3 linked regions of the Arabidopsis thaliana genome follow. The protein of the gene in region 3 interacts with the protein of the main gene of each other region in a pairwise test. Each region holds a gene or a part of one and is shown on either strand. Other genes may lie near its edges. The genes, in order: TRX3, GUN5 and WRKY18.

Region 1 (8,670 bases), on a different chromosome or scaffold from region 3:
AACGAAAAATATATGGATTTAAGCTAAAATGTTTAAATCTGATGACAAGAAAAAGAAAAAAAAAAGCTAACATGTTTAGGGGATGATTCAAAATCATATCATAAATAAGATCAACATTAATAAAATAATTTTTGAGTGGGACGTGTTTGACGGTATCTTACTTAATAACAATTGTAAACTATAAAATATAAATATTTTATAAATAAAAACAATTTGCAAACTTTTATATATACTAACTTTAGGAAAAAAAATTGTCTCACTCATGATGTACCTTTATTATAAAAACATAAAATTAATTAAGTAATGATATTTTCGATTTTTTTCTAGCGCAATAAGAATAGAATTACCGTAAAAAAATAAAAATAAGATTAGGATTAAATTAGCTAGGACAACTTTTTCAAAAAGAAAATTAACATGCCGAAATCATGAACGTCGTAAATCATCAAACAGCTAGGATTCGTTGTATCATACACTTAAAATGATTAGAGAGTTGATCTATTACTCTAGAGTTTACTTGCAATGATCTCAAACATAAAAATATTAAAACGTTTATTTGATTCCCTATGCAATGAAAAGTGAAGATCTTTATGATTAGCACGGAATTTTCCAAGCTTAACTTTTGACTTTTGTCTCCCTAATCATTCATTAATAACCACTTCATGTCTTTATAAAAAGCACCCCGTACGAAGTTCTTCACTCAAAGCTCCTCATACCATAGTATATTTTGAGCTTTCTAATCACATAGTAATAATTTTGAAAATGGCGATCCTAACTCCCGTCATTAAACTCGTTGTTTTTAGGCAAAGTCTACGACCACATTCTGCTATTGCATTCCTCGTTGAGTTTCTTTGCTTCGTCTTAGAATTACTCGACAAGGAGAAAGATCTAGCCAAAATATTCGGTATCGTATGTGCTTGCGACACATTAATCTTCACTTTGCTCGATCTTATCCAAAGTTTGATCGAGGAAGAAGTGAAAATACAAAGATGCGGCCGAGTGTTTTGGCTTTACACAAACGATGGGAGCCTCTATTGGCACACATTAAACGCATATCTTTTGATGTTATGCATTGTCCACGTCATCGGTTCCACGATCTCTTACGTTTCTCATAAACATTATCTAGTCTTGCTCCCGCTTTTCGCAGCCGGACTCGAACTCGTCCCACAAGAAGCCTATCGAGTTCTTGGACCGGATCAAGAGTCTGGAAATTCTATTGAGCCTCTTAATGGTCCATTAAATGGTATTGAGCTTGAACAAGGAATGGTTGTTCATGTTGAGCCTCTTCAAGAGCCACTAGATGGTATTGAGCTAGAGCAAGAACTCGTCCCACAAGAAACCAATCGGGTTCTTGGACCGGACCAAGAGTCACAAAACTGTATCGGGGCTCTTAATGACCCATCAGATGGAAAAGACCAAAACCTTCAAGATGATATTGTGCTAGATCAAGAGTCACAAGATTGTATTATTGCACCTCATCAATGTCCATTAGATGGTATTGACCTACAACAAGAAACGGTAGTTCACGTTGAGCCTCTTCAAGACCCACTAGATGGTATTGAGCTAGAGCAAGAAGTGGCTATTCATGTTGGGCCAAATGATGACCCATAAACTATTAGAAGCCTACTATAGAATGAAAGCTGAAACATTATATAGATGGAGACGTATGTTTAATGTAATGTACTTTGTCTTAAAAACTTATGTACTTATGATCGTACGACTTTGGTAGCTACAATGTAAGAGAATCTTTGTTACAAAAAAAAATCTATAAATAAAATCGACTCTTCAATGTCCCGTGGAGTCAGTGAAGGATAAACGACACGTGTGAACACGAAGGAAGATTAATAGCCGTCCGATGAAAATGGTTAATTTTGTAATTTTGACTCTTTCACGTGTGCCCTTTCCTCACCCCGAAAAATATTTTTATTTCCTTTTGTTTACACTTTTTGATTTCATTTTCAATAATAATAATATTCGAGTAGAAGAAGAAAGATCCAGACAAAAGCTTAAGCAAGACCTCTCTGTCTTCGTCTCTCTCTCTCTCTCTCTTTGTCTCCGCCATGACAAGCTCTTCATCTCCTTCACGCAAGGTTCTTAGATTCTCTCACTCTTGTCTTCTTATGTGTTTTTTGATTCTCCGATTGTGATTTTTTGAATTTTTGAGATTTGTGTAGGCGTTAAGCAAGATCGCGTGTAATAGGTTACAAAAGGAGTTATCAGAGTGGCAAGTAAATCCACCGACTGGGTTTAAGCACAGAGTTACTGATAATCTTCAAAAGTAATTTTCATTTCAAAATCTTTCCTTTTTTTGATTATTTATCATTTCGATTTTTGATTGTTTTTTTTGTTTTTGTGTGATTTAAAGATGGGTAATTGAGGTAACAGGAGCACCTGGTACGCTTTACGCTAATGAAACTTATAATCTTCAGGTTGAGTTTCCTCAACATTATCCTATGGAAGCTCCTCAGGCAAGTTTTTCATTGTGTTGGTTTTGTTCTGAAAAATTTGTTGTTTTTGATTAAGGGTTTATTTCAAATTTCTTAATTGTGGATTAATTAACTGAAACCAGAGTGTTTTTATGGTTGTATTGCATGTTTTAGGTCAGAGAATTAGTTTGAGATATAGTGACATTTTCTCTACTTGGTTTTGTGCTGTGTTCTGATTTTCATGTGTTTGGTTTTTGATCAGGTGATTTTTGTTCCACCAGCACCGTTACATCCTCATATTTACAGCAATGGACATATTTGTTTAGGTAATTTTACTCATTGTTTCTACACTACTTACTCTTTGCATTTGCTCTTACTTTTTGGTTTCTCTGAAATGCTAGCTCAAGTCATGTGTGTGTCAATCAAATTAGTTTATCTGTTTGATACTTACATATATAGGTTGTTCTTGTTCACGGAATGTAATGTAGCGAAAAGAGAAGCAATGTTAGTAACAATACCCTTAAGAGTCCTAATATATTATATCAACATTGTTACCAGTCTTAACCTTTTTCTCAGTCTGTCTCATTCTTAAAGAGTTCCTAATACTAGCGTCGCATGACATGAAATTAGGTGTGAATGTGTTATCAACGCCATAAAGAAAACCAATACCGTCCCTTTTGGACTCTATGGTGAATTCTTTAGCAAAATCAGAATCTGATCCATGATTATAACAGCCTCTCAATTTCTAGTTATATTGAAACTCCCTTTGGAATGTTGATCAAATAACTTGAAACTCCCATTTGAGTTAAAATCAAATAACACATTTTAGTTTTGCTGTTTTCACTAAACAATAAGAACATGAAAGTTTTATGTAAATTTCTTAAATCTGTTCTCAATGCATCTAAATCCGGTCTAATGAAATCGTGGTGGAACTGAACCATTTGTTACAATACATAATCACGATTATACCCGGCCTCATTTTAGGAGAAAGTCCATTAGGATTATGCGCTTAATATAACACACTCTCTAATTCCTTTTTGTAGATATTCTGTATGACTCATGGTCTCCAGCAATGACAGTGAGTTCAGTCTGCATCAGCATCCTCTCAATGCTATCAAGTTCCCCCGAAAAGGTTTCTACATTTGATCTCTCACACTTTGTATTGTTGTCACAAATTCAAACTTTTTGACCCTGCCACACAACTCTTACTATGTCTTATTGTCGATGACAATATCAGCAACGCCCGACTGATAACGATCGATATGTGAAGAACTGCAAGAACGGGAGGTCTCCTAAAGAGACAAGGTGGTGGTTCCATGACGACAAGGTTTAATGATGACGACCGTAAGATGTCTCTCCTTTCAGTTACAAAAGAGGTTTATATAATTTCCCAAGACTGATAATACTAATTGAAATTCCTCATGGCCTCCCACTTTTTTTTCTGTAACGGATCATTATGTATAAATGACATCTGAAATGTTTCAGTGTCTGAATTAACACCTTGTGCTTTTGTCCTTTCTGAAGTGAAAAACCATGGAGAGTTTAGGCAAAACGAAATTGTATTTGGCAATGTAATTGGATTGATAACTAGTTGGTGTAATGTAATTGAAAATTGAAAAACTAACATAACAATAGAATCCCCAAAGAGTAAACATAACCATGAACGAACAATTAGCATAGCTGCGAGTAATCAAGTTTGCAACAACATTTATTCACCACCACACATAAGAGCACATTTAAGGTGAAAAGACTCGGGCGAACAAAGGATTTATTAAAACACCAAACATATTTTAGCAAAATAGGTAAGAGAGAAAAGCAAATCAAGCAGCAGCAACAACTGTCTTGTGCTTCTCGAGATTGGCAATGATTTCTTCTTTAGCAGCACCAACCACAGTCTCCTTGATCTCTCCTTCTTTCATGAAGATAAACGTTGGCATTGCCTGAACTTTAAACTCCTCAGCAACAGTCTGCACAACAACATAACAAGCAAGATAAAGGCTCAGAGAAGTCAAAAATCCCTAAGTTTGGATATTGGGATAGTGTAAGATTGATGAAGGAAACTCACGTTCAATTCGTCAACATCGACCTTGAAGAAGACTACGTCGAGGTGCTTCTTGGCTAAGTCAGCAAAGACGGGTGCAATGAAACGGCAAGGTGGGCACCATGTTGCAGTGAAGTCTATCACAATCTGTGTCATTTCCACACAACCATATTTAAGAAAACAAGCTACACCGATCGATAATTCAAACAATAGATACGACATCGGTTCATCATTAAGATAACAAATGTATGCATTTCATGTGCTTCACAGAACATGGATAATAATACAAACATAGATACAAAATGGGTTCACTAAAGACAATTTTCATGTGATCTCTAGCAGATGATTCATAAAATTGAATATGCATAGTTGAGAGATTCACATAACATGTTTTTATCCAATGATGCTTCTATCAAGTTCTTAGGGTTTCAATTTCTGAGATTCTGGGTTCCTAAACAATCAATTAAACTATTAGGGTTCATAAATTTGACATTAAGGAGCTCAAAAATTCGATTGGGGACAATTCAAACCTAATTCTGAATCCGTCATATTCTAATCAAAAGGACCAAGATCAGAAACGATAAAGCAGCGAAATCAATCAGAAAGAAACATTTAAAACCTTAGATCGAGAGTTTTTACCAGTTTCTTGGATTCGTTGGCGGCTTTGAGCTTCTCGGTCCAATCTTCAACGGTGTGGCAAGCGATAACTTCTCCTTCTGCGGCCATTTTCTCTTCTCTGTGTTTGATTTTTGATTTGATGAGTTTTCGAGTGATTATTCTTCTTCGTCTCTGTGTCGGTTCTTATAGAGAGAAGGAGGCGGAGAGAATCTTACATCTTTTTATTATATTTTAATGCAAATGGAATAATAATAATAATTAATAAAACATGTTGTCAAATAGGAAAAGAATTAATACTCAAATTAAAAAAATGGACCAAACCACGCGGAGGAATTCGATGCCGGATTTGTTGATCTAACGGTTGAGATTGAAGAATTGCAAATCGGATTCAGCTTCTGAGGACGCGTGTAATTTATGCTCATTGAAAATAGAAGAAATTGATATATTTAGTCAAAAAGGTTATGAGATTTGAGTATTTCTTTTTATTTTTTATTTTTTTTTTGTTGGTCACATTGAATATTATTGCCTTTGGTAGTTCAGTCCTATATTTTATTTGAGAAACAAAATCAGAAAAGAATCTATAATTTGAAGCAACTTTCATATTGTAATTTGGTATTCCTATATTTTATTTGAGAAACAATATCAGAAAAGATCAAAAGAATCTATAATTTGTAGCAACTTTAAATATTGTAATAGGAAATCTTTTAAAATTTATCAATATGAAATTTGTTAATTTATAATAGGTCTTGAGATTTGATCATGTGACTTCTAAACACAAGTTATTGGGCTTTTGTTTAAGTAAAGCCCATGTGTCAAAGAAATGGATTGTTTTCCTAGTTAGTGAAATAATCTTATACACACAATTTAAAAACAATAGAGAAAATTAATGTTGAAATGAGCAGATTAATGTGGGGTTGTACATATCAAGGTGGAACTATCACAAGGAAGAACAAAGAGATATCTTGAGGTAACTACCCAAAGAAAGAGCAATGAAACCCTACCATGACAATTTGTCCAGACTATAACGAGTTAAATCATTATCATGAATTCCATACCATGGCAATTTGTTTTCTTTCAATGGGATGTCTACCATTCCAAAAAAGTTTTGCCATCAACAACCGCATCTGTTCTTTTGAGTAAATGTAATTTTGGTAAACTATGTAGTCTATAATCATTAGTTACAATATGGATCTGTAAAGTTGATTCAAAAACAATTGTGATGTTCTCGAACGGGATCACCATAAACTTCATCAAAAAAAATCCTTTAAGCGAGAGAAACTCGTGATTTTTCGAGACAACGATTGTGTCTATGAGTCTATCGTCCAACCTCATCCAATACCAATATGTTCAGTTATATCTAAGTTGTAAAGCACATAAAATCGATTTGTCAGTCAGCTCACATGTTTAAACCAAAGTCGTATTCCAATGCGAGACTTGGTTTCCTAGTCTGAGATAGGTAAATTTCTTTATATACTACCCTCTATGTAACGAGAGAGTGGTTCTTTTTTCACTTTTAATTCATGAGAGCACTTTCAAAACATTTTGCATGTCATTGCTCTCAAGATTTGGGCTCACAACTTTTCCGATGACTTCTCGGTCATATCTTGACCATTCGATCAATTTTTCGATTGCTTCTAGTCGATTCTTTCTCAACAAATAATTATTTACGTTTCCATCTTAAATTGCTCCCTAAGCTCTAAAACACATAACATATCATCTTTTTCCGATCTGGTATCATAATATTAAACGTGGTATTGTCATCATAAAATACCTCATCATCGTGTTTTCCAAATCACGACGTGTTTTTTTATTTGTGTAAAAGATTTACTGTAGTAATTTAGGCTCACATATAAAAATATTTCTAAACAATATATTATTTGTTGATTTTTTTTTTTAATCTACAATCAATTTGGTAAACTTACCATCACAAATTAATTATAAAATTTATGAACTAACAAAAAAAAATATAGTATTTATGCTTAATATATATATATATATATTTTAATTTATTTTGGGTACTAATCTCATATGAGTTGTGACCATATTAAGTAAATTTTGTAAAGCGCCTCTCCGATCACCGGCACAGAATCTAGTCCCCGTTTATTTTTTTAATATAAAAAGAGAGCAAACTCCAAAAAAAAAAAAAAAAAAAGCGAGAGAGAAATCAAAACCTTGTAAGGTTTCTTAGGGTTTCAATCGAAGCGGGAGAGAAAATCTCAGAAGAGAAGCCATGGATGAAGCTTTGACGAACGCTTCTGCAATCGGTGACCAACGCCAGAAAATCGAACAGTACAAACTCATCCTCTCCTCTGTTCTCTCTTCCAACGATCTTCTCCAAGCTCAGAGATTCATCGATCACAGTAATTTCGCATCTCCCTTCTTTCTCATGGTTTCAACTTCATAAGAGATTCGACAACTGCTTTTTGTTCTTATGGAATTCGGTTTATATCAGAATTTCTGGTTTGATTTTGATTTTTGCTTCCTCACAATTTTTCCAGTTCTTTCCGATGATGTCCCGTTGGTGGTTTCGAGGCAGCTTTTGCAGTCTTTCGCACAAGAGCTTGGGAGATTAGAACCGGAGACGCAGAAGGAGATTGCTCAATTTACTCTTACCCAGATTCAGCCTAGAGTTGTTTCCTTTGAGGAACAGGTTTGTTTTCTCTTCGTGATACCTTACTGTTTAGCAGCAATCGTGTACTTTTTAAACCCTAATTAGTTTACCTACTTAACATAAGTTGAGAGGTATGTAGAGTCGCTTTGCTATTGTACCGCTTTGGTATGTGAAATCTACACTGAAAGCTAATTTGAGATATTTGTTTACTAAGGATGCTGTATTTTGGGATAACTGAGACAATGTACGTTGTGTTGTTTTTCAATCTCTTTATTCTAAGAGATGAAACTGTTTGTGGTGTATTTGCAGGCACTTGTTATCAGAGAAAAACTTGCGGGTTTGTATGAATCAGAGCAGGAATGGTCAAAAGCAGCACAGATGTTGAGTGGAATTGATCTGGATTCTGGAATGAGGTGTGTGGCATTGAGCAGAATTTTGTTTTAGTTTCCTCTCTATGTTCTTTTGTGTTGCTTATTTTGGATTTGCGGAATTCTTTATTAGGGCCGTTGACGACAACTTCAAGCTTTCAAAGTGTATCCAAATTGCTCGTTTGTATCTCGAGGTTTGTCTTTCCCTTTCATGTACATATGCACAATAGATTCTGTGTCCTTTTCATTAATTTTTAAGCATGTAAATCGGTTATCTCTGTTTATGAGATGAATTTACGCATCGCAGTAATGATTTATAGCTAGTTTGTCTTGTTTCCTTCTGTGGGTGCGTGTCAATCAGTTACAGAAGTTAGATCTTAAAAGCACAAAAGAAACCCGTTGTTGAATGTTGATTCAATCTTCAAATATTTGGACATTTTTCTAGAGAGATTTTATTTAAAGTTAAGTCTCTTGACCAAATCTAAGTGTCATGAAATTAGGAATATCGACTGTTAAGAGCATTATTCTGCTTCACTACATCACTTTTTTATTTATTGCTTGTGAGAGTAAATTGAGGCTAGCAGAGTTGTATAAATACATTTAGTTAAA
Region 2 (12,395 bases), on a different chromosome or scaffold from region 3:
TATCTCTGGTTCTGTAAAACTGTAGAATATGAAGTAAGAGAGAATCCAAATCTGGACACATGGATGGAGGTAGGACGGGATTTTATCAGGTTGCAGTTCTTGAATACTGATGGGATCAGAACCATAGGATGTGTTCTGGGCCAGAGTATTGCTCTGGATTACTATGGCCGGCAGGTAACCATGTCAAATCCTTACACATTGTATTCTGGAATGTGGAAAAATGAAAAGAGATATAACTGTGTGTGAGCAATCTGTTTCTGTTATAGGTTGATGGTATGGTAGCAGAATTTACTGAGATAAACCGTCAGTTGGAGATAACAGGAACGTTTACAATGAAAAGGAAAAAGCTGTTCCAGTTGGTTGGAAAGGCTAATGTGATTCTGGCTGATGTGATTCTGAAGCTTGGTCTTTTTGAGAGGTAAAGAAGGAAGAAGACTCGATGCCTATCTCAGACTAGTTTTGTGGATAATTGCGACTGACTTGTGTTTTGGGAAAATTGCAGGTCAGATATAGCTTGGAAGGATGCGAAATATGGTCAGATATGGGAGTTTCTGAGAGATGAATTTGAACTGACACAGAGTTTTGCAAACCTTGATTATAAGCTCAAGTTTGTAGAGGTATTATTATTATTATCATCCACACAATCTTTCTCCTATTTTTCGTTGTGTCGGAAAATAATAATAATTATTGGTGGTTTTGCAGCACAACGTTCGTTTCCTTCAAGAAATACTTCAGAACAGGAAATCAGCTACTCTGGAGTGGCTAATCATTATCCTGATTAGTATGGAGATCGCGATTTCTTTCTATAATATGTCTCGGGCATCCTTGTGATCGAGATCATCCTCTGCCATTTCTAAAGCATATTCATATTCTTTATTATGGTTACCACTTTTCTTCACAATGCAAAGTGATAACTTTATAACAAAGCTCATAAATAAGAATGAGTTTAGGAGTTAGGACTACGTTTGTTACAGATTCTCTTTGCATTTAAGAGCCTGCTTCTTTTCAGTCCAACAAGACTTGGTTATGCATATAAAATCATTTATTTCACAGGTGCAAGCCTTCTTTTAATTTCAATTTCAATGTAGTGTTGTTATATTAATAAAAGTGAAATTACGAAGCAAAATGAGGTTTTGAACTATGAGAATAAGGATTGAGAAATGTTTTCTAATGAAAACTTATATACACCAAGTAAAATAAGGAGTCATTGCATAAAGAAAGAGAAGAAGGGTAAATAAAATGAAAGATGTACTCGAAGGTGACGAAAAAAAAAGTCCATGCAAAATAGAAGTCATCCACACAACAACATACAATAATATCGAATACCACCAAATAAAGTTCCAAAAAGAAATGATAAAGGTACACACAACTCCTCAAGTTCAAACAAGAAGTATGATACAATAAAAACTAGAGAGCAACTCCATAGGATGGGGCAAGATTATTATTAATGGAGGATCTGGGAATGTATTTTCGAGCCCAAACATGTTTTCCATTAATGGTGTACTTGTTCCTTTCGATCCCATCACTTACAATCTCCGGTATCATGGCTGCAGAATGTAACACCATCTTTGCATACAGCGCCTGCTCATTCCCTTCCCCTCCAGGCATGATTATCGCTTCTATAATCTCTCCAAATCTCCTTCAACACCCAAACACACACACCATTTAAACACTCCACTACTATGTATATGCATGCCTTATATATAAAGGTTTTAGTAGTACCTGGTGAAGTAGGCATGCACTTCAGCTTCAGAAAGCGGGTATCCTCTAGAAAATGTGAGGAAGACAGTCCTGTCGTCTTCCCTTGCTTGCTCATCCTCAGAGAATACACCAACCTTGCTTGTTCTTGTTGTTGCTTGTTGTTCACTTAAGAACTGGCTACTTGATCCAGCTTTATGAACAGCCTTGCTAAACCCCAAGTGCTTCATATCCTCTATCACCTTTTCCTTCTCAGCTTGCACGCATATATCCTCAAAAGCTGGGTAACATATACTGGTTAAATGCTTCTTCATGTCAAGAAGAATGCTTTCACGGTTCTGGTGGATGACTGCGAGAGTAAGGTACTCTCCAGTCATCCGCGTGATCAAAGGTATGATTTTTTTCCCAAAGTTGGCAACAAACATAGAGAAATTTTCGTAGGACAAACAACTCAGACACATAACAACTTCGTCAGCCACTGTGTTGATGAAGAAATCAGGTAAAGAATTAAAGTTGACGATTAGGTTGCTTACAAGACCACTTTTCTCGAGATAGAGGAGAAAGCTCATGACCTGGAGAGACTGATTAATGTCTCGCCTTAGTCGCACGACAAAACGGCGGAAAAGGGCTCTGTCACACTTGTGGAAAGCATTGAACTCGTCTCGCGTCACGGCTACTGCAGATGAAGATGAAGCCATTAGTTAGTCTTTGCAACGCAGGTATGAGATTATCTGGTGATACTGATAAGTGATGAAAAGATAGATATAAGTAAGAGTGATTAAAAGGAATTTACTGAAATGTTGAATATGTAAATCTGGACAGACATTGTTTTCTTTATAAAGAGACCCAATTATTCATGAACCAATGTCTATTCTTATTTTTTCTTGAATTGTCCTATCCATTCCTATTTATACTCTGTCTTATATTTAGCTATTTTCATGTTTCCATATTATTTTATTTTCTGTCTTCTTGATACTAGTTTTAAACATTCCTATGTATTGTTTCTTGGAGTCCAGTTGTACAGCATTTTATTTATACTATATGGTCTATTCATATATGGCCAAGCAATTTCTTCTCTATGTCATTTAAATAAACTTTTCCAAGGATGTTTTGTTCCATATTGTTTGGTTTCAGAGGCTCAAAGACTTATTGACTTTCTTGAGCTTAAACCTTAGCAAACCAAGACTGAAGTAGTTTGATGCAAAACAGAGTCCAACACATGGAAATGAAACATAATATATGCAGAGAAAAGAACAGAGACTTTGATAGGAGAAAGGTGAGAAAGGAAGAGAGAACACACATAATATTTATGCTAAAGTCTGGGCCGAGTCACATCTCGGAATCCACTAGAATAAGCAAGTTACAAGAGGGAATTCCACAGAGAAAGAGTCTCACACTTGAGATCTCTTCTCTGTTACACTCTCAAGAGAAAAACCAAAGATTACACCTTTTTAATGGCTATCTCTCTCTCTTGCTTGCTTTCTACATTGTATCTCTCTCTTGCTCATTTCCCTTTGCCACGTTCACAGCATAGCTTCATCTTATATATACATGTGAGAACACCTTAGATCTAGTGCTTCTCCAAAACGCTCCACTTTGAATTCACATAAAGACAAATTGTCCTTTCTTGGCGCAAAAGCATGACTCAACCATAGTTTGTTTACACTTAACTATAGTTTCATTTTCTTCGCATATAAAATCCACACATATGAATATGATATAAGAAATGGAGATGAAAGAAGAAGCTCCACAACATTCATATAAAGTCAGAAAATGTCAGCCAAAACATTCTCTTATTCACAGAGAGATGATGTCGTTTGGTAGAATACTGTAATACACAAAAATAAAGTTTTAAGTTCATTTACAAGAAGAAAGGCTTATATCCCATTGTTTATCGATCGATCCCTTCGATCTTGTCTTCCACCTGCGAGTACAATTCCTTGAGCTTCTCTATGTTTTCAGCGGAAGTGTCCCAGTAGCCACGACCATTGGCCTCCAAGAAAGTCTGAAGCATTTTCCTGAAGGAGTTGGGATTGGTGTTCATGAGACGGTTCAGCATCTCCTCGTCTTGGATGAAAGTTGAGTTGGCCTCCTCGTAGACCCAATTGTCTACTTGACCTGACGTTGCACTCCATCCCACAGTGTTGGACAGTCTCTTCTCTATCTCACGAACTCCTTCATATCCACTTGACATCATTCCTTCGTACCACTTTGGATTCAGCAGCTTTGTTCTTGCGTCCAGCCTCACTGTCTCAGATAGTGTCCTCACCTGCCAGATTCAACAAATACCTTAAGGAATGTGTTCTTGCAAGGTAAAACTGATCCCATATATGAACTACAAAGAAAATTCACTCACCTGCGCGTTTGCAGTTGTAGTGTCAGCAATGTAAGAGCTTGGTTTCTTCTTATCCTTCCTCAAACTCTGAACTAGATTTGTAGGGTCAGAATCGAAGTAGTGGCTCACATCAGTCAAAGAAATCTCTGAAGAATCCAGGTTCTGGAAGGTGACTTCTGCAGTGCTAAGAGCCATCTCAAAGACCTGCTTCTTCTCAGCCATTCCTGCTCCAGGAGCATCACTATCAAACGCAAACGATTTGCGGCTCAAGTACATGTCCTGAAGCTGTTTCTCATCGTTCCATGACGAGTTTTCAACAGCAAGACTGATGTTGGCTGAGTATGACCCTGAAGCGTTTGAGAAAACTCTTGTCGCTGCCTCTCTAATATCAATGCCAAGCGCCTCTGCTTGTTCCAACGCGTGTTTCCTTACAAAATTTTGCTCTACAGGCTCATCTAGCTCCGCCACCATCTTGATAGCTCGGTCAAGAAGGTTCATCTGTCAAGATAATTCAAGGAAGAAACACCATGAGAGACCAACCAACAAGAATCTAAATGAAAGAAGAGAGAAAGCTTTTATCTGGTTACCTGGTTGATAAAGAGATCACGGAAGACCCCTGAGCAGTTAACAACTACATCGATCCTCGGCCTTCCTAGTTCTTCTAAGCTCACAGGCTCGACACGGTTCACTCTTCCAAAAGTATCAGCAATTGGTCTCACACCAATCATCCAAAGAACCTGCCCAAGAGACTCCCCATATGTTTTGATGTTGTCAGTTCCCCAAAGAACAAGCGCGATTGTCTCGGGATATTTCCCTTCGTTTTCGAGCTTCTGTCTCTCTACCAACCTCTCAACCACAATCTTGGCACTTGCCATTGCTGCTGTTGTGGGAATAGCCTGAGGATCTAAGGCATGGATGTTTTTACCGGTTGGTAAGACCTTTGGGTTTCTGATGGGATCACCTCCGGGGCCAGGCTCGACGTACTTGCCTTCCAAAGCTTGCATTAGACTCCCTAGTTCGTTGTCCATGACCACCAACTTCAGGCACTCTCCAAGGAAACCAAACACTGTTCTGAGCTTATCTCTGTTCGCCCTGTAGAACTTGGTGTTGGACAAATACTCAACCCATGGCTCATTGATTCCAAACCCAAGAAGCGAGGTAAGCTTGTCAGACACATCCACCACCTGTCCTTTGCTATTTGTTGTTTTTTCCACAAAGGCGGAAACAGCGCCACGTGAGGCATCAGTGATCTCTTTGAGAAGCTCTACATCGCTCAAGATACCCTTGTCGCTTCCTCTGTAAACATCCTCTATCTCCCTTCCAACACACTCAGCTAATATAGAAGGAAGAGCTGAAATCTCATCCTCCGGACGATCTAGAGCAGCAATGTTGACCAGTGTGGCCACAGCTTCCATGGCGGATGGAGGCTCTCCAATGACGTGAAGCCCGCACGGCAAAAGCCTTGATTCAATCTCCATAATCTTGGAATAAACTTTCCCAACCACAGAATCTCTGTCTTTAGGTGACAACTCCAAGCCTTCATCTGGAAGATCCACATCCTTATCAAGATTACATTGCTTAGCTGTGCTGATGATGGAACTGACGATCTGTGGACCTCTCCCCGTGTCCTTCAGAGACTGATAGGACGATATCAGCTCACTCAACTGCTTCAGCCCTTTGTATAGACCAGCATTCTCAGCTGGAGGAGTCAAATAACTGATGGTGTTGGCATAACTTCTCCTCTTTGCAATGGTAGCTTCAGAGGGATTGTTAGCTGCATAATAGTAGACATTGGGAATGTTCCCGATAAGACTGTCGGGAAAACAAGCATCACTCATTCCCACTTGCTTCCCGGGCATAAACTCGAGAGAACCATGTGTTCCAAAATGAAGAACAGCATCAGCTTTGAAGATCTTTTCTACATAAGAGTAGTAAGCAGCAAAACCGTGATGAGGACTTGCTGACTTGGAGAAAAGCAGCCTCATGGGATCACCTTCATACCCAAATGTTGGTTGCACTCCGATGAAAACATTACCGTACGCTTTTCCATAGACAAGAAGGTTCTCTCCATCTGAGTTAAGGTTCCCCGGAGGTTTCCCCCAGTTTTCTTCCAGGGCATTTGCATAAGGAGTGAGGTCTTGGTACTCACGGACTCCCATTTTGTAAGCTACATTGAGGTTAGGGCTGCTGAACTGAGCCTCCTTGTCATGAATGATTTCTTCAATAAGAGTCTCTGCATTCTCAGGAAGGCCTTCAACATTGTAGCCATCTCTCTTGAGGTCTCTTAACACCGAGAAGATGGAAGCAAACACATTGAGGTAAGCTGCAGTCCCTACATTACCTTTATCAGGTGGGAAACTGAAAACAGTGATTGCCAGCTTCTTCTCTGCCTGCAATGAGCCAGAGTTGATTCATGAGAACATACATTACATTCTTGAGAAAGTCATGAAGGAATGTGATTTCACTAAGGATGAGTGGTAATACAATACCTTAGTTTTTCTTTTGAGCTCACCCCATCGAATCGCTCTGATGCAGAGTTGCTCCACTCTCTTGTGGAGAGCATGTGACTTCCCTGCAGCAATTGGTAAACCACCTCCATAAGAAAACATTCCCACTCTTGCGTAATGACAATCATGAAAAATGCAATATGGTCATAAGTGGACTAACCTGTTCTAGGGTCACGACCAGCGAAAACGATTGGCTCCATCGCTCCATCAAGCTCAGGGAGGGCAACCTGCAGAGCCACCTGGATGGGATGCAGACCAAGTGTGCTGTTTAGCCATTCCTCTGTCGTCTGGAACACCAGTGGTACTGCCACAAGGTAAGGAACATCGAGCTTTTTCAGGGCTTCGATAGCCCTGGGATGATCCTGCCTTGCAGGTCCACCAACAAGAGCAAAACCAGTCAAGGAGACAGCAGAGTTTACGATGGGCTGTTTCGACACCGGGTCTACGAAATATTTCTCTACTGGACCAGAGAAATCCAACCCTCCTGCGAATATAGGAACGACCTTAGCACCTCTAGCCTCAAGCTCCATGATAACAGCCACATAGTGACTATCATCACCAGTCACAATGTGACTCCTCTGCAAGACTAAACCGACAACCGTTGCATCTTTCCTCTTGAGTGAGTCATTGGTGTCCCTTCTAGTGTCATACCAGTTCCAGTACTCCTTCACATCATCGTACATGGTTGGAGCAAGTGGATGCCAAATTCCAGTATCCAAGAACAAAACCGGATCCGAATACTCGATTTTGACACCTTTCAAAGCCGGAACATAAGATCCAGAAATCATCTTAACAAAATTCTGAAGATTATCAGGAGAGCCTCCAAGCCAAAACTGTAAACTCAAGATGTAGAGACGAGCATCTTGAGCCTTGTCACTAGGTAAGTACTTCAAAACCTTAGGCAAAGTCCTAACAAGCTTCAACATACTATCGGCAAAACCAGCAGAGCCTTGTTTCTTCCTCTTGAAGAGTTGGAAAAACGGAGACTTTGACTGACCCAATTGAGACATACTAAAAGATCCAAGCTTGTTCAGTCTCATTACCTCAGGCATTGAAGGGAAGACAAGAACTGCGTCCATCCTGTCTCTCTCCTTCTCCACCGCATCCTTAACTTTAATCGCCAATTCCTCGACGAAGATCAGAGAACCAATGAAGATGTTGGCGTCTTTAAGGTCTTCGCAGAAGTTGTTGTAAGTGTTCTTGTCTCTAAGCTCCTCGACCAAGTATCCAACCACTTCGTAGGATGCGAATCTCGAAGTCTTGTTGAGAGATTGCACGGCTTCACTGAGAGAAGACTGGTACTGAGCCTCGAGGACGACGTAGACGATTTTCACCGTCGGAACGTTGTCTCTCTTGATCGGAACTATACGACGGACCTCCGGGTTCGTCTGTGTGAAGAGGCCGTTTCCAGATACAGCAGATTTCACCTTGAAGAAAGATTTGGCTGGTTTGGTTGATCTGTGTTTCTTCCGGAGGAAAGAATGTTTGGTACTGTTAGTGAGCGAAGAGAGATGCTCTGCTTTAGAAGTGGATAGAGTGAATGGAGAATACACAAGCGAAGCCATTTTGCGGCTGCTGGATTCTCCAAACGTTGAATTCGAAGAGGAGAGGATAGGAGAAGAGATGAATCGTTTTTTGTTGGTTGTCTCTTACACTTTTTGAGCTCCAAGTGGGAGTTTATGATTCTCTCATCGGTAAACGCTTCGGACCAAGGAACTAAAAAAGAAGCGTTGGTTTTGAAGGTAAGTGGTGAGAGGGAAGGACACGTGGACGAATAGTTACGGAAGAAGGGAGAGTCTACTTGTGAGGTTGAGTTTTGTCGGATGTATATCCGCTTGGGACAATGAGATGGACTTTGCTGGCCTCTGATTGGCTCATTGAGATTTCTATTCATATTTTCATGGTTTGGGAGTGTGGATATTGAGTGTCTTATTTTCTTTACTTATTTGACAAGTATTTTTATGTTGCTCTCTTGAAGATCGTATTTGCGGTTTCAGCCATGTAAAAGATTCTTTTCCGATGACGACACTTTTACTAGGCATATTCGTCGGGTAGCCGGTTTAATCCGGTCTAGATTTTGTATAATTTTTGGTTCAGCTAGGTCTGGTTTGATATTTTTCTACTTATTTCTTAAAAACTGGCTTTAATCTTTTAAGGTAAACTCAGGATTTTTCTTTGAAAACGAAATTTGAAATATCAGACTCATAACAATTGTAACAACAAATGTAAAAGTTAAAACACTCTAAAATGTACTCAAAATTTTGATCATCATCATCACTATTTTTTTTATAATAAATGGATGTAAAAACTTATCATGTTTCAATATTTAAAACTTTTTTTTTTTTCAATATTTAAAACTTACATAAAATATATAATTAAAAGAAAGTTTATGAATTAGAATATTAAGTTATATGTAATTAAATGGAGCAATACATGTAGCCTACTAGTATTGTTGTTGCATGAGTTGCATCATATTCGAAGATATACAATATGTTTTTTTGATATAAGAGTACCGCTTCATTCTCTTTTTTTTTTTTGTCATTTCCCAAGTGTAATATTGTTATTAATACATGGGCTATACTAAAAGCCCCACGAAAAGTTTACTGAACTATTTGAGGCCCAACAAGAGCCTATCGGATTAACGCCTACTGCAGAAGAAAATCTGTCTGCACTCCACCCAAGAAAACGCAGACTAATTAATGAAATCAACGAAACGGATAGGTCGGGTCTAAGGTTGACCATGAACCGCAACCTGAACCAGGAGCAAAGTGGTCAAGTTTTGCCATCCGGTCCGAGTCCCTTGGAGGAATAATACCAGAACAGAAAAAAACAGAAAAGTCGACAATAAACAAAAGAGACAAATTTGATTTGATTGGTTCCAGAAATTCGCAGAGAAACAGCTCTTTGTCTCTCTCGACTGATCTAACAATCCCTAATCTGTGTTCTAAATTCCTGGACGAGATTTGACAAAGTCCGTATAGCTTAACCTGGTTTAATTTCAAGTGACAGATATGCCCCTTATTCATCGGAAAAAGCCGACGGAGAAACCATCGACGCCGCCATCTGAAGAGGTGGTGCACGATGAGGATTCGCAAAAGAAACCACACGAATCTTCCAAATCCCACCATAAGAAATCGAACGGAGGAGGGAAGTGGTCGTGCATCGATTCTTGTTGTTGGTTCATTGGGTGTGTGTGTGTAACCTGGTGGTTTCTTCTCTTCCTTTACAACGCAATGCCTGCGAGCTTCCCTCAGTATGTAACGGAGCGAATCACGGGTCCTTTGCCTGACCCGCCCGGTGTTAAGCTCAAAAAAGAAGGTCTTAAGGCGAAACATCCTGTTGTCTTCATTCCTGGGATTGTCACCGGTGGGCTCGAGCTTTGGGAAGGCAAACAATGCGCTGATGGTTTATTTAGAAAACGTTTGTGGGGTGGAACTTTTGGTGAAGTCTACAAAAGGTGAGCTCAACAATTCTCACTCTTCCTTTATATTGGGATTTGGATTGGATCTGATGAGATCACGCACTTGTTGCTTCTTCAACATCACTCAAACTTTAATTCCATGTTTGTCTGTCTTACTCTTTACTTTTTTTTTTTTTTGATGTGAAACGCTATTTTCTTAAGAGACTATTTCTGTATGTGTAAGGTAAGCGTTCCAAGGACGTAATTGGCTTGGACTATTTCTGTTTGATTGTTAACTTTAGGATATAAAATAGCTGCCTTGGAATTTCAAGTCATCTTATTGCCAAATCTGTTGCTAGACATGCCCTAGAGTCCGTTCATAACAAGTTACTTCCTTTACTGTCGTTGCGTGTAGATTTAGCTTTGTGTAGCGTATAATGAAGTAGTGTTTTATGTTTTGTTGGGAATAGAGAAGTTCTAACTACATCTGTGGAAAGTGTGTTCAGGCTGTGATAGAGGACTGTTGCTTTATTATTCAACTATGTATATGTGTAATTAAAGCTAGTTCCTTTTTGATCTTTCAGCTCAATGTGCTTTTCTCAATTTTTTTCTCAATTTCAAAGTTTCACATCGAGTTTATTCACATGTCTTGAATTTCGTCCATCCTCGTTCTGTTATCCAGCTTTGAACTCCTCCCGACCCTGCTATGGATATATTAAAAAAAAAGTGTTTTGTGGGTTGCATCTTTGTTACGATCTGCATCTTCTTCTTTCGGCTCAGTGTTCATGTTTTTGCTATGGTAGAGATGGGCAATGTTATTGTTGATGGTAACAGTGGTATAGTTGATAGTATCTTAACTAATCAATTATCTCTTTGATTCAGGCCTCTATGTTGGGTGGAACACATGTCACTTGACAATGAAACTGGGTTGGATCCAGCTGGTATTAGAGTTCGAGCTGTATCAGGACTCGTGGCTGCTGACTACTTTGCTCCTGGCTACTTTGTCTGGGCAGTGCTGATTGCTAACCTTGCACATATTGGATATGAAGAGAAAAATATGTACATGGCTGCATATGACTGGCGGCTTTCGTTTCAGAACACAGAGGTTCTTTTCTCATCGTTCTTTCTATTATTCTGTTCCATGTTACGTTTCTTTCTTCATTACTTAAGGCTTAAATATGTTTCATGTTGAATTAATAGGTACGTGATCAGACTCTTAGCCGTATGAAAAGTAATATAGAGTTGATGGTTTCTACCAACGGTGGAAAAAAAGCAGTTATAGTTCCGCATTCCATGGGGGTCTTGTATTTTCTACATTTTATGAAGTGGGTTGAGGCACCAGCTCCTCTGGGTGGCGGGGGTGGGCCAGATTGGTGTGCAAAGTATATTAAGGCGGTGATGAACATTGGTGGACCATTTCTTGGTGTTCCAAAAGCTGTTGCAGGGCTTTTCTCTGCTGAAGCAAAGGATGTTGCAGTTGCCAGGTATTGAATATCTGCTTATACTTTTGATGATCAGAACCTTGGCTCTGGAACTCAAAGTTATTCTACTAAATATCAATTCTAATAACATTGCTATATTATCGCTGCAACTGACATTGGTTGATTATTTTTGCTGCTTATGTAACTGAAACTCTCTTGAGATTAGACAAATGATGAATTGATAATTCTTACGCATTGCTCTGTGATGACCAGTTTCTTAGCTTCGACGATAACATTTGTCATACTGTCTTTTGGAGGGCATTGAATTTTGCTATGGAAAGCGCTGGAGCTTCCATGCTTGCATTCTTTACCAATTAGCGTTATTCTGCTTCTTTCAATTTTCTTGTATATGCATCTATGGTCTTTTATTTCTTCTTAATTAAAGACTCGTTGGATTAGTTGCTCTATTAGTCACTTGGTTCCTTAATATAGAACTTTACTTTCTTCGAAAATTGCAGAGCGATTGCCCCAGGATTCTTAGACACCGATATATTTAGACTTCAGACCTTGCAGCATGTAATGAGAATGACACGCACATGGGACTCAACAATGTCTATGTTACCGAAGGGAGGTGACACGATATGGGGCGGGCTTGATTGGTCACCGGAGAAAGGCCACACCTGTTGTGGGAAAAAGCAAAAGAACAACGAAACTTGTGGTGAAGCAGGTGAAAACGGAGTTTCCAAGAAAAGTCCTGTTAACTATGGAAGGATGATATCTTTTGGGAAAGAAGTAGCAGAGGCTGCGCCATCTGAGATTAATAATATTGATTTTCGAGTAAGGACATATAAATCATAATAAACCTTGTACATTTTGTGATTGTATGATGAATATCTGTACATTTTATCTGGTGAAGGGTGCTGTCAAAGGTCAGAGTATCCCAAATCACACCTGTCGTGACGTGTGGACAGAGTACCATGACATGGGAATTGCTGGGATCAAAGCTATCGCTGAGTATAAGGTCTACACTGCTG
Region 3 (9,243 bases):
GTAAAGTTCTAAGCTTTTATGTTAAACCGTGCCTCAGGAAAATGAAGCTGCTAATTCGTGCAATGAATGGTGCAAGAAAACTCTCAAACAGATCAAAGAAGCTTCACCTTTGAGCTTAAAGATTACTTTGCAATCTGTAAGTCCTTTTAGTTTCTTCTTCTCCTTTCTCAAAAAGGATTTCATTTTTCTGACTCTGGCGGTTTCTTCTCTTCTCAGATACGAGAAGGTAGATTCCAAACCCTTGATCAATGTCTCACACATGAATACCGTATATCCATTTGTGGAGTCTCAAAAGTAGTCTCTGGCGACTTTTGCGAGGTAAAATATTTCACTAATTTGTCAATTAAAGCATCATTTTTTTGCACATATTGAAGTTGTTTTCTGTTGATAGGGTATTCGAGCCCGTTTGGTAGATAAAGACTTTGCTCCAAAGGTGCATACAAACATATCAGCCTCAAAATTAGACGTTTGCAACTCCTTTAGCTTATGTTCATGTTCCAGGTTTTACGTTCTAATTCGTGGTTTGTTAATATTTGCAGTGGGATCCTCCACGCCTAGAAGATGTGAGCAAAGACATGGTGGATTGCTACTTCACGCCAGCCTCAGAGCTCGATGATTCAGATTCTGAGTTGAAGCTGCCAACAGCTCAACGAGAGCCTTATTTTTGAGGAAAAACCTACTGATGACACTCATTACTTGCAATAAAGAATTCCACCGATCTATGCGCAAATGAGATCTCTGCAATGACATTATCCTGTCAAACTCTGTTTTTCTTCATTAGGGAGTGTCAAGTTTTTAACTATCCTGTAGTTTCTTCGTTTTCTGTGAGAGGATTCCATTATAATGTTGAAAGGCCAAAGTGTAGAATTCAGAAGAAGTTTGATTGGATAAAGATACAGTGCAATTCCAAACAGTTACAGTGGCAACTAGTTTAACAAAAAAGTAAACTTCACACAAAAGATCTTCAGAGTTCAGACAAACACTGTAACAGCAAATCTAGGCTCTTCCACTTAATGGATTGAGATAAAAAAATGTTCAAACACTTCTCTTCAGCAATAAATAAGCTTGATTGGATTCAGTACAGTGCAATTCTTACCGTGGATAGTGATTTTCAGGTGGTATGTATAACATTGCACCAAACAGGGGTAGTGGCTACTAGTTTAACTAAAAGTAAACTTCACACAAATGCTTAAGAACTCTTCAGGCAAACACTGTAACAGCAAATCTAAACTCTTCCTCTTCCACTTAAGGATTTTTTCATCTAGAAAAACTGGTGCGGTGTATCGAACATGCTTCATAAGATCTTGGAACAGATCGCTCTGAACATGTGGAAGAGTCTGGGTTGCACCATTCTAGTCCAGACCGAGAAGATTCAGGAACACGCTGGGCAAGCAGGCGGGCTGCGTCTTTCCACCATGAAACCTCGGTTTCTTTCTCTTGTAGTCTGCGTTCAACACGATTCAGAGCAGTCTCAAGCTTCACTAACTCTTCTTGTTGCCTTGTCTCCAGTAGTTCATGCAGCTTTTTGTCTAGTTCGTACGGACACACTCCATATCTTTCATCTGACACCACCATCTCTGGTATATGACTCTTTGTGACCTCATTGTCCTACAAACACAAAAGAACCACAAGTCTGAGAATCAAGAGCCTGTTTCATAATTGCTTAAACAGTTGAAACCCAACTTAAGAAGATAAAAGGGTTTTCTTTGAAGTACTTTAAGTTTGCATTGTCTCTGAATCTGATGCTTTGTTTGTCTATCCTCTGCTTTTTCACCCAGAGGTAACCTACCTACCTCAGCCTGGAGTTTTGAGTTGCAGTCTGTTCCTCGACGATAATCCTCTGGCTCTGAGACCTCGAATTCGGTGTACTCCTCTTGAAGAACACTCGATGATGACTCTTGGAAAATGGATGACGCCAAATTCGAGAATTCTTGAGGAGAAAACTGGAAACCGCTTGCTTCATTTGAAGACATAGGTGTATCCTTCTTCTGTAGTTGTTCTTTTGCATTAAGAAGAAACATCTCCATTTGCATTCGCAGGTTTGTCATCTTATCAAGCTCGGTTTTACTTGCAACAACAAGATAGAGCAAAAAAGAACCAATTCCCACTTCCAAAGGTGACTCTCTGCTTTGTGACTCTGCACAAAGAAAACTAAGTATAAGTCTATAAACATAACCCACCAAAGACAAGTCTTGTTTACCTATAAGAGAAAAAGGGAACTCCTTCAAATTCTAAAGACAATCTTACCGTTCAATGATCATTAGGCTATTTCCAGAGAATTAAAAGTGTATGAAAAAGAAAAACACAAGATTCTCACCAAATGTATTAGTCTCCGGCTCTTTACTCTTATTCAGGCGGCAGTTCTGCTTATTGTCCTGCATTACCAGCTGATTTAAACTCGTCGAACACCTTATAGGCGCTAATTGATACCTTCTGGTGTCATCTTCTTGTTCCTCCCCTGCATCTCTCTTCCCCTTGGAACTTCTCAACCCCGAAAGCCACCGGCCCACGAATCTCCTAGGAGTATAACACTGCACGATAGTGCACCCATCTCCCCTCCTCCGCCGCGAGCCTTCCATTGAAAACCAAGAGAAGACAGAAAACGAATAATCATGGGTTTTTGGGTTTGGAACAAGAGACGAGATTTAAAAGGAAGAAGGCTTCGTAGGAGGGACCAAGATCGGATAGACATTGATAATGGTGGGACGGAGTCGTAACAGAGAGCTATGAACAGATGGGGAGAGGAAATAAATGAGAATCACGAGACTTGCAGAGTGAGTTTATGGAGGGAAACTTTGATTTTTCTCATTTGAATTTTTGCGCTTCTTTTTCCGATCATTGTATTACCAACTTAATACATAATTTACTTGTGTAACACATTATTAAAGAATACTTAAGATACTATTTAGTGATGTCCAATTCTTATTTCTTTCTCAAATGACTCCAAATTTCCAATAAATGAAAGAGACTATTGTGATTGAATATTTATGGTGACCCTTTTTTAACCACATCATTTATTTCAAAATTTTCATATACAGTATTCAGACGACATCTAACTGGTTATATAGAATTCGTACATTTAAAGTTTCTCGAATACTTATACGATTTCTTCATCTACTTATAATATTTATATACATCTTTTATCTCCTAATCGAAAGACACAATTCGAAAACGAAGAATCATTCTAAACAAACAAAAACAATACATTCACTAAAAACGTTCATGTTCTAGATTGCTCCATTAACCTCCCAGATATAGCAGCAGCAAGAGCAGCTGTAAATTTCGAATCTTTTGTTAACGATGACGCCATTTGTTGAATCAGAACCTCTTGCATCGTATTATCCCTTTCGTTTTTCTCCAACGCTAGTCTATGACAGCCATTAACCAGATCCAAAGTCACTGTGCTTGACCCACCCTGGCTTGTAGCATCCCCTTCAGAAGCATTTGGACCCAAGTGGTTATGCGTCCCTTCGTATGTCGCTACAAGTAAAGATGGATCCTCTGCGCTGCGTTGTACCTGAACAGTAATACCACAGATCATTAGACAACTGAAGAAGCAAGCAGAGATAAACAATTACAAATGAAGCTATAAATACAATAAACTCGATGTGTGTAAATTACCTTCTTTTTTACTGGACAAGACGGTGCAAACGAGCATCTAAAGTAAGCTCTAGGTGACGGGTTGTCTCTTGTAACCTTTTGTCCGTATTTCCTCCATTGAAATCCATCTTTAACTGTCTGCAGAGTTACACTCTGCTTAGTCATTTGTCTCTATGCAATTTCAAACATATGACTCTTTAATCAAAAGATTCACAGACAAAATCCCTTACCAAGCTTGTGTCCGATGTTTCAGTAGGCACGTAGACAGTCGAAACTTTTGCTTTGTTGAAGCTATCAGTGACTGGTCTTTTACATGAAAGAAGCTGATTTTTCTGCTCATGTTGCTGATGATGATGATGATGATCTTCGTTGCTGGAGCTGTTCTCAGTTTTTCCACTACTGAGTCCAATAGGAAAGCCTAAGAACTCATCCGGGTCTTGTTTTCTTTTCTTTATCGGTATATCGGTCTGCTCGATTTCAGGGCTCTGGCGACTCTGAAGCTTCTCCAAATGATTATGTAGTTCGTTGTAGCTCTCACAGACTCTAGCTAACATCTCTGTTAGCTTCTTGTTCTCTGAATTAACTCTGTTTAGCTCCTCTCGTAACTCACTTGCGCTCTGTTCATTACCACCACAAAGATCAAATTACTAAAAAGATTCTTCCTTTTTGTTCCAAACAAGATTGATTATGTAAAGTTTCAGACTTTATACTAACTACATCATCACCGATTCATTTCGATGCAAAGACATTCAAACTCAGACCCATCTTAATTGATTCGTAAAGTACTAAAGTGAAGTTAAAGAATTGATAAAAGCTGAATGTTCGAACAAGTATATGAAGTCGAAGGTAGTGCACACCAAGTGTTCGACGAAAGAACTAACCTCGTCTTGCTCCAACCATTTCCTCTTTAAGTGAGTAGAAGCCAAAACTGAGACCTCCTTCTTCTGAAATACGAAAATTTGAAATGAACCCATGATTAATTCCCAAAATCCCAGTTCATAGAAATTGAAGGGATACAAAAATCAACTTAGATTTCGGGAAAATGGATCAGACGAAATCCGGACTTACCGGAAGTTTTGCGGAGAAAGGATTGGTGTTGAGATCGAGAGAGATGTCGAGAAACGAAGAACCGTCCATAAAAGAAACCTTTATCTTAAGATACAAACCAAAGGACTAGTTGGTGCGTAGTCTCAATTTGCTTTCTTCGGTCACAAGTTGGTCCGACTGAATGAGAAGTTCCTCGGAGCAAAATGGCTTTATTTATACTAAAACTACAAAGACAGAGACAAGAAATAAATAATAAATTAGTTTGTTGCGCAGAAATTAAAGTTTATTTAATGTATAACAGATATAAGATTAATATATAAATTTTATCCTAAGGTCAAATTTAAGATTAATAAATTTGTTGTGATTAAGTTTTTAATAAAAGAGCTTTAACGAAAATGAAAAATCATAAATAAATGTTTTATTAATTGTTTAGTGATTAAAATAAGAAAGTTTTTTTAATAAAAGCTGTAAGTACGATAGGAATAAATTAAAGAGATAGGTTTTGGGATATGTTAGGAAGGAAAGTCGTTCGAAAGTGAAGATAACATATAAAAAGCTGTCTTCTATAAAGTCCAGAAGACATTAAAGACTTTGGGAAAAAAAGAAGAAGAAAAAGCACAACAAGACATAGAAAGCTGTCTATTAAAATCACACTGATTGGCTAAAAATATGGGATTGTGTAAAACATTCTGAATTGTGTTATATCTATCGGTATGTATTTTCGTATGCATGGGTTAAATTTACTGTCGTAATCATTCATCTCTATAGTACATGTTAAAAACTAGATCGTTCATTATGGATAGAATTATACATTATAGTCTTGTACGATGAAGGTGACAAATATCGTTTCTAGTAGACTATAGAGGAGATATAGGTGATTATCATAAACATGTTTCCCAAAATAAAATCAATAATATATCCACATTTAGAAATTTGAATACTTTGTTGTATACGAATCGTAATTTATTCTGCTTTAGTCACTGTTAGGTGGTACAATTACAAGTGAAATTACAAGAAATCTCAAATACCGTCCAAAGACTTGAAACGTTCAATTTATAAGTCTCTACCAACTAGAAATAAATGATAAGAAATTAAGAATTAGCTATGCAAAACTTATAAAAGCAAACAAAAAAGAAGCAAGTAGAAGAAAGATCCGAAAAATCAATAATTTCGGCGGGGCAGTGTCCCATGCTGAAGAAAAATTTGGACGTCATACATAAATTTCAATATGTAGGATCTGTGTTCCCTTTATATCCTCTTCTATTTAACAAATTTTTTTTAATTTGTCCAGACTCCAGATCCATAACAATTACGAACTTTCCCTTGACTTGCTTGACCATTGACTCTGATTTGTAGGTCGGCAATTCTTTTTCTATTATATCCTAGTTTCCCTTACTATTTGATTAATAATTCACTGATTGATATTTTACTGTACAATAGGTTTCTGTTTGTTTGTTAAAGTATTCTTTTTAGTACTATACTTGAGTTATATATTTAAATTCATTAACCGTGTGATATTTACTTAAATATTTTATATTTTGAAATAGAATGAGTACTATTTAACAACAAAATATAATGTATTTAATTACTAATTACTACTTTTTTGTCGTTGAGAGATTGTTTTGGGAAAGCGACCAATCACATTGCATGATAAATTTAAGTCGGTACAAAAAAACTTTCTAATCAAGGAAGTGTTAATTAACACAAATTAAATATGAGCCGACAAAAAAAATATAAATAAATTGAGAGAGTGAAACAAAAAACGTGGAAAATTTTTGGGGAGAAGAAGACAAAGAGGGTGGTGAGCCCACACGGGAAAAGGGCAACAAAATCTTGACTGGACTCGACCGCGACTTCCAACTTGTGAGAAGCTTTTATTATGAGGTGTGAACAAGTTGCCACCTTGGGCGGCTCCGACACCGACCTCTATTTTTCTTGTCACTTTTTTTTGTTTGTTTGTTCAAAGTTGTGAATTTAGTGTCATCTTTAATTATTCCGTTTCTTTCAAACTCAATGATACAAATGCTAACCACTATTCCATGAAGATTTACAAAGATCGATTGTTCGATGAGATTCTTAGAATCTAGTTAAAATGAGTTTTGATTTTATTGATGTAAGTTGACAATTTTGATTAAGACGGAATCATATAGTATAAATATTAAAACTTGTTTTCAAACTTATCTGAGTTTTTTTACCGGACCGAAGACCAAATCATATGATTTGTTTTCAAATAAATTCAGGATTTAGTCTGATTCTCATTAAAGTCTTGACTTCGGGTATATTCGGTTTAAGCTAGGTTACTATATGCGGTTTTTGCTCTTCAATACATAATTATTCCATGTGACATTCATTTCAGAGAAGAAGCTTTATGTGATCTTCATGAATTGAATCAACTTGAAAGATCAAATCATAATAATTTTTGAATATAAAATAAAAATTGTTGAAACAAGAGACTTTTGATATCCTTTCCTAACACAAGTTTGCATGCTAACTCTGAACACCATTACACTATACTAGGTATTTATGTTATTAGAAACGAAATTTTTTACAGTGTACTAAATATAAGAACCTTTTTTGACAAAACAAATTCAATTTAGATTGCAAAACCCACATGTTTCCACTTGGTTCGAGTTTAGTAGCAAACTCTTGCTAAAAGAGGTCGAGATACATTGTGAAAACGAACGAACGAACAATCGTTCTAATTGTGGAAGGAATTTTGAGAGATTTGGATGCTGGGAACTACACTATTTCGGAAAGCTCACTTTGTACCCCCTTTTTGTTTCCGAAAACCATTAAAATTTGCGAAACAATCAAGATTAATCTATGTGATATGTATATTAATAAACTAGATTCCCTACTACGTAAAACGTCTGTAATAGGAATGGAAAATTAGTAATGGGGATTCATAAGTGGAATGATCTGTTCCCCGATGTAGACCAAATAGAAATTTCTCATCACTAGAAGTTTGATATTGAAATTTGGACCAAACTTCTTTATCTTTTTACGCCACATTAATCCTATACGTAAAGTGATATAGATCGATGACAGTTGACGAACAATAAAGATATATTGGTCAAGTTGGATATTGTTAACAAGAGATGAATAACAATAATATAATTAGTGAAGAAATGAGTTAGGGCTCATGGAAAAGTTAATTAAACAAATATAACATGGTTGGAAAAATATTTCAGGAAGTGTTTTTAGTTTATTGATCCTATGTGGAGTGATAAGTCTTATCATAAGACCTTATAAGAAAGACGACCAAAGATCTTTCTTAAGTCGTCGTGTAAAACTCTCTCTCGGATATTCTACATGACGACGTCGATACGATGACGTCATTACGATCAGCATCTGAAAGTATCATCATGATACGTTTTTATATTTGTCTCTTTTGTTAATCTGAAAATACGGTTTGTAAGAGCGGTTTACTAAAGAATAATTTAGTTTTCTCATTTGCATATCTCTTCCTATCGGAGAATTAATTTTTATTTTCTTCAAATTTAATCATGAACTCGTATGTGCATAAACTATTCATATAACCGGTTAAATTACTAACTTTACTTGTTCAATTTCTAACTAAAATAAAATTTTGGATAATTATTTAAATCTGTTATGATAGTTTTAGGTCAAATGTTTACGTGAATTTAAAATTTCTAAACATAAGACTTCAGCCGAAAGAATATAATTGCAGAAAAAAAAAAAAATAATCAAAAAATGATTATGACAAAAATAGAAATGAATACAATGCTTGGTAATTAGTGTACGAAACAAATCGATACATTAACCATTTAAAATTAATATAGCGATATATTTTATACAGTATCTTTAAGAAAGACTTAAGTTGATGATGAGTCAAGCTTATTTAAAAGCTAAAACCAAACGGAATAATCTATCTGTTAGAGATTTCAAGAACTAATAGAAAATGGACCAAATCGATTTGTTTGTAAGTAAAAGTAAAAACTATAGACTAGTTGCTCAAGTCATGCGACAATTTAGCCAGACATATTATTCCTTATGTATGTTCTCTTTTCTGAATGGTGGTGAACTACGTTACGTTCATGATTCATCAGCCTCGTTACGTAAATAATCCTACGTCATCGTTTGTGCATCATCTATCATTCATCAGCCTCCTTAAAAGGCTTACTTGTCAAAATTTTAAATGACTTTTGAGTGGAATTATTGTTAAAAAAGAAGTCATGATTTTTTAAATTGTGGTCTCAATTAGGACCAGAGCTTTATCCCAGCTTTGAAAAAAGTAAGACTCGGATTTTGATTCATCTAAAACTAAGTCGGATATTTCCATGTGTTAGATTTTTATTTTACGTTTCCTTCATAGAAATTCTGATTAACCCGACGTTTCCATTTCTATAAACATCATTATATTTGAACGTTACAAAGTTTTCTCAGTTCTAACTTAGGGGCAATAATAAAATACAATCTTTGGACGTGTGGTGGTTTAAGGAGACAATCATAAACTAAACAATGATCTTTTGAAGGGTAATCAACCCTCAAGAACCAGACCGAACAAAAACAAACCGAAACGACCTCTAGTTTGGTTTCAAATCCTCAAACCAAACCAAACCAAGCCAAAATAAA

Evidence for each region.
Region 1: the proteins of WRKY18 (region 3) and TRX3 interact in binary tests that used the Arabidopsis thaliana proteins (3 or more experiments, as listed by UniProt).
Region 2: the proteins of WRKY18 (region 3) and GUN5 interact in a two-hybrid assay, tested with the Arabidopsis thaliana proteins (one study listed by BioGRID).

The regions. Positions count from the first base shown.
Region 1 is NC_003076.8:17,239,292-17,247,961, reverse strand, and holds TRX3 (thioredoxin 3), read right to left. Parts: upstream 5,356-8,670; 5' UTR 5,191-5,355; coding exon 5,104-5,190; intron 4,612-5,103; coding exon 4,489-4,611; intron 4,391-4,488; coding exon 4,244-4,390; 3' UTR 3,757-4,243; downstream 1-3,756. Other genes in the region: AT5G43000 (uncharacterized protein), read left to right, coding at 760-1,608; UBC18 (ubiquitin-conjugating enzyme 18), read left to right, coding at 2,058-2,087, 2,172-2,275, 2,363-2,465, 2,686-2,749, 3,467-3,555, 3,661-3,756; COP8 (Proteasome component (PCI) domain protein), read left to right, coding at 7,313-7,442, 7,581-7,732, 8,003-8,106, 8,195-8,255. UniProt on the Arabidopsis thaliana protein: Thiol-disulfide oxidoreductase that possesses disulfide reductase and insulin disulfide bonds reducing activities.
Region 2 is NC_003076.8:4,383,978-4,396,372, forward strand, and holds GUN5 (magnesium-chelatase subunit chlH, chloroplast, putative / Mg-protoporphyrin IX chelatase, putative (CHLH)), read right to left. Parts: upstream 8,453-12,395; 5' UTR 8,106-8,452; coding exon 6,701-8,105; intron 6,606-6,700; coding exon 6,523-6,605; intron 6,424-6,522; coding exon 4,621-6,423; intron 4,532-4,620; coding exon 4,055-4,531; coding exon of another isoform or gene 4,051-4,054; intron 3,968-4,050; coding exon 3,590-3,967; 3' UTR 3,330-3,589; downstream 1-3,329. Other genes in the region: AT5G13610 (sporulation RMD1-like protein, putative (DUF155)), read left to right, coding at 26-174, 267-418, 503-617, 703-831; AT5G13620 (uncharacterized protein), read right to left, coding at 1,408-1,639, 1,723-2,396; PDAT (phospholipid:diacylglycerol acyltransferase), read left to right, coding at 9,552-9,997, 10,823-11,045, 11,141-11,424, 11,880-12,198, 12,278-12,395.
Region 3 is NC_003075.7:15,378,790-15,388,032, reverse strand, and holds WRKY18 (WRKY DNA-binding protein 18), read right to left. Parts: upstream 5,257-9,243; 5' UTR 4,738-5,256; coding exon 4,669-4,737; intron 4,545-4,668; coding exon 4,482-4,544; intron 4,401-4,481; exon of another isoform or gene 4,218-4,400; coding exon 3,831-4,217; intron 3,739-3,830; coding exon 3,622-3,738; coding exon of another isoform or gene 3,541-3,621; exon of another isoform or gene 3,518-3,540; coding exon 3,221-3,517; 3' UTR 2,933-3,220; downstream 1-2,932. Other genes in the region: AT4G31810 (ATP-dependent caseinolytic (Clp) protease/crotonase family protein), read left to right, coding at 38-136, 217-318, 392-433, 540-668; AT4G31805 (WRKY family transcription factor), read right to left, coding at 1,258-1,608, 1,716-2,137, 2,318-2,579. UniProt on the Arabidopsis thaliana protein: Transcription factor. Interacts specifically with the W box (5'-(T)TGAC[CT]-3'), a frequently occurring elicitor-responsive cis-acting element. Positively modulates defense-related gene expression and disease resistance.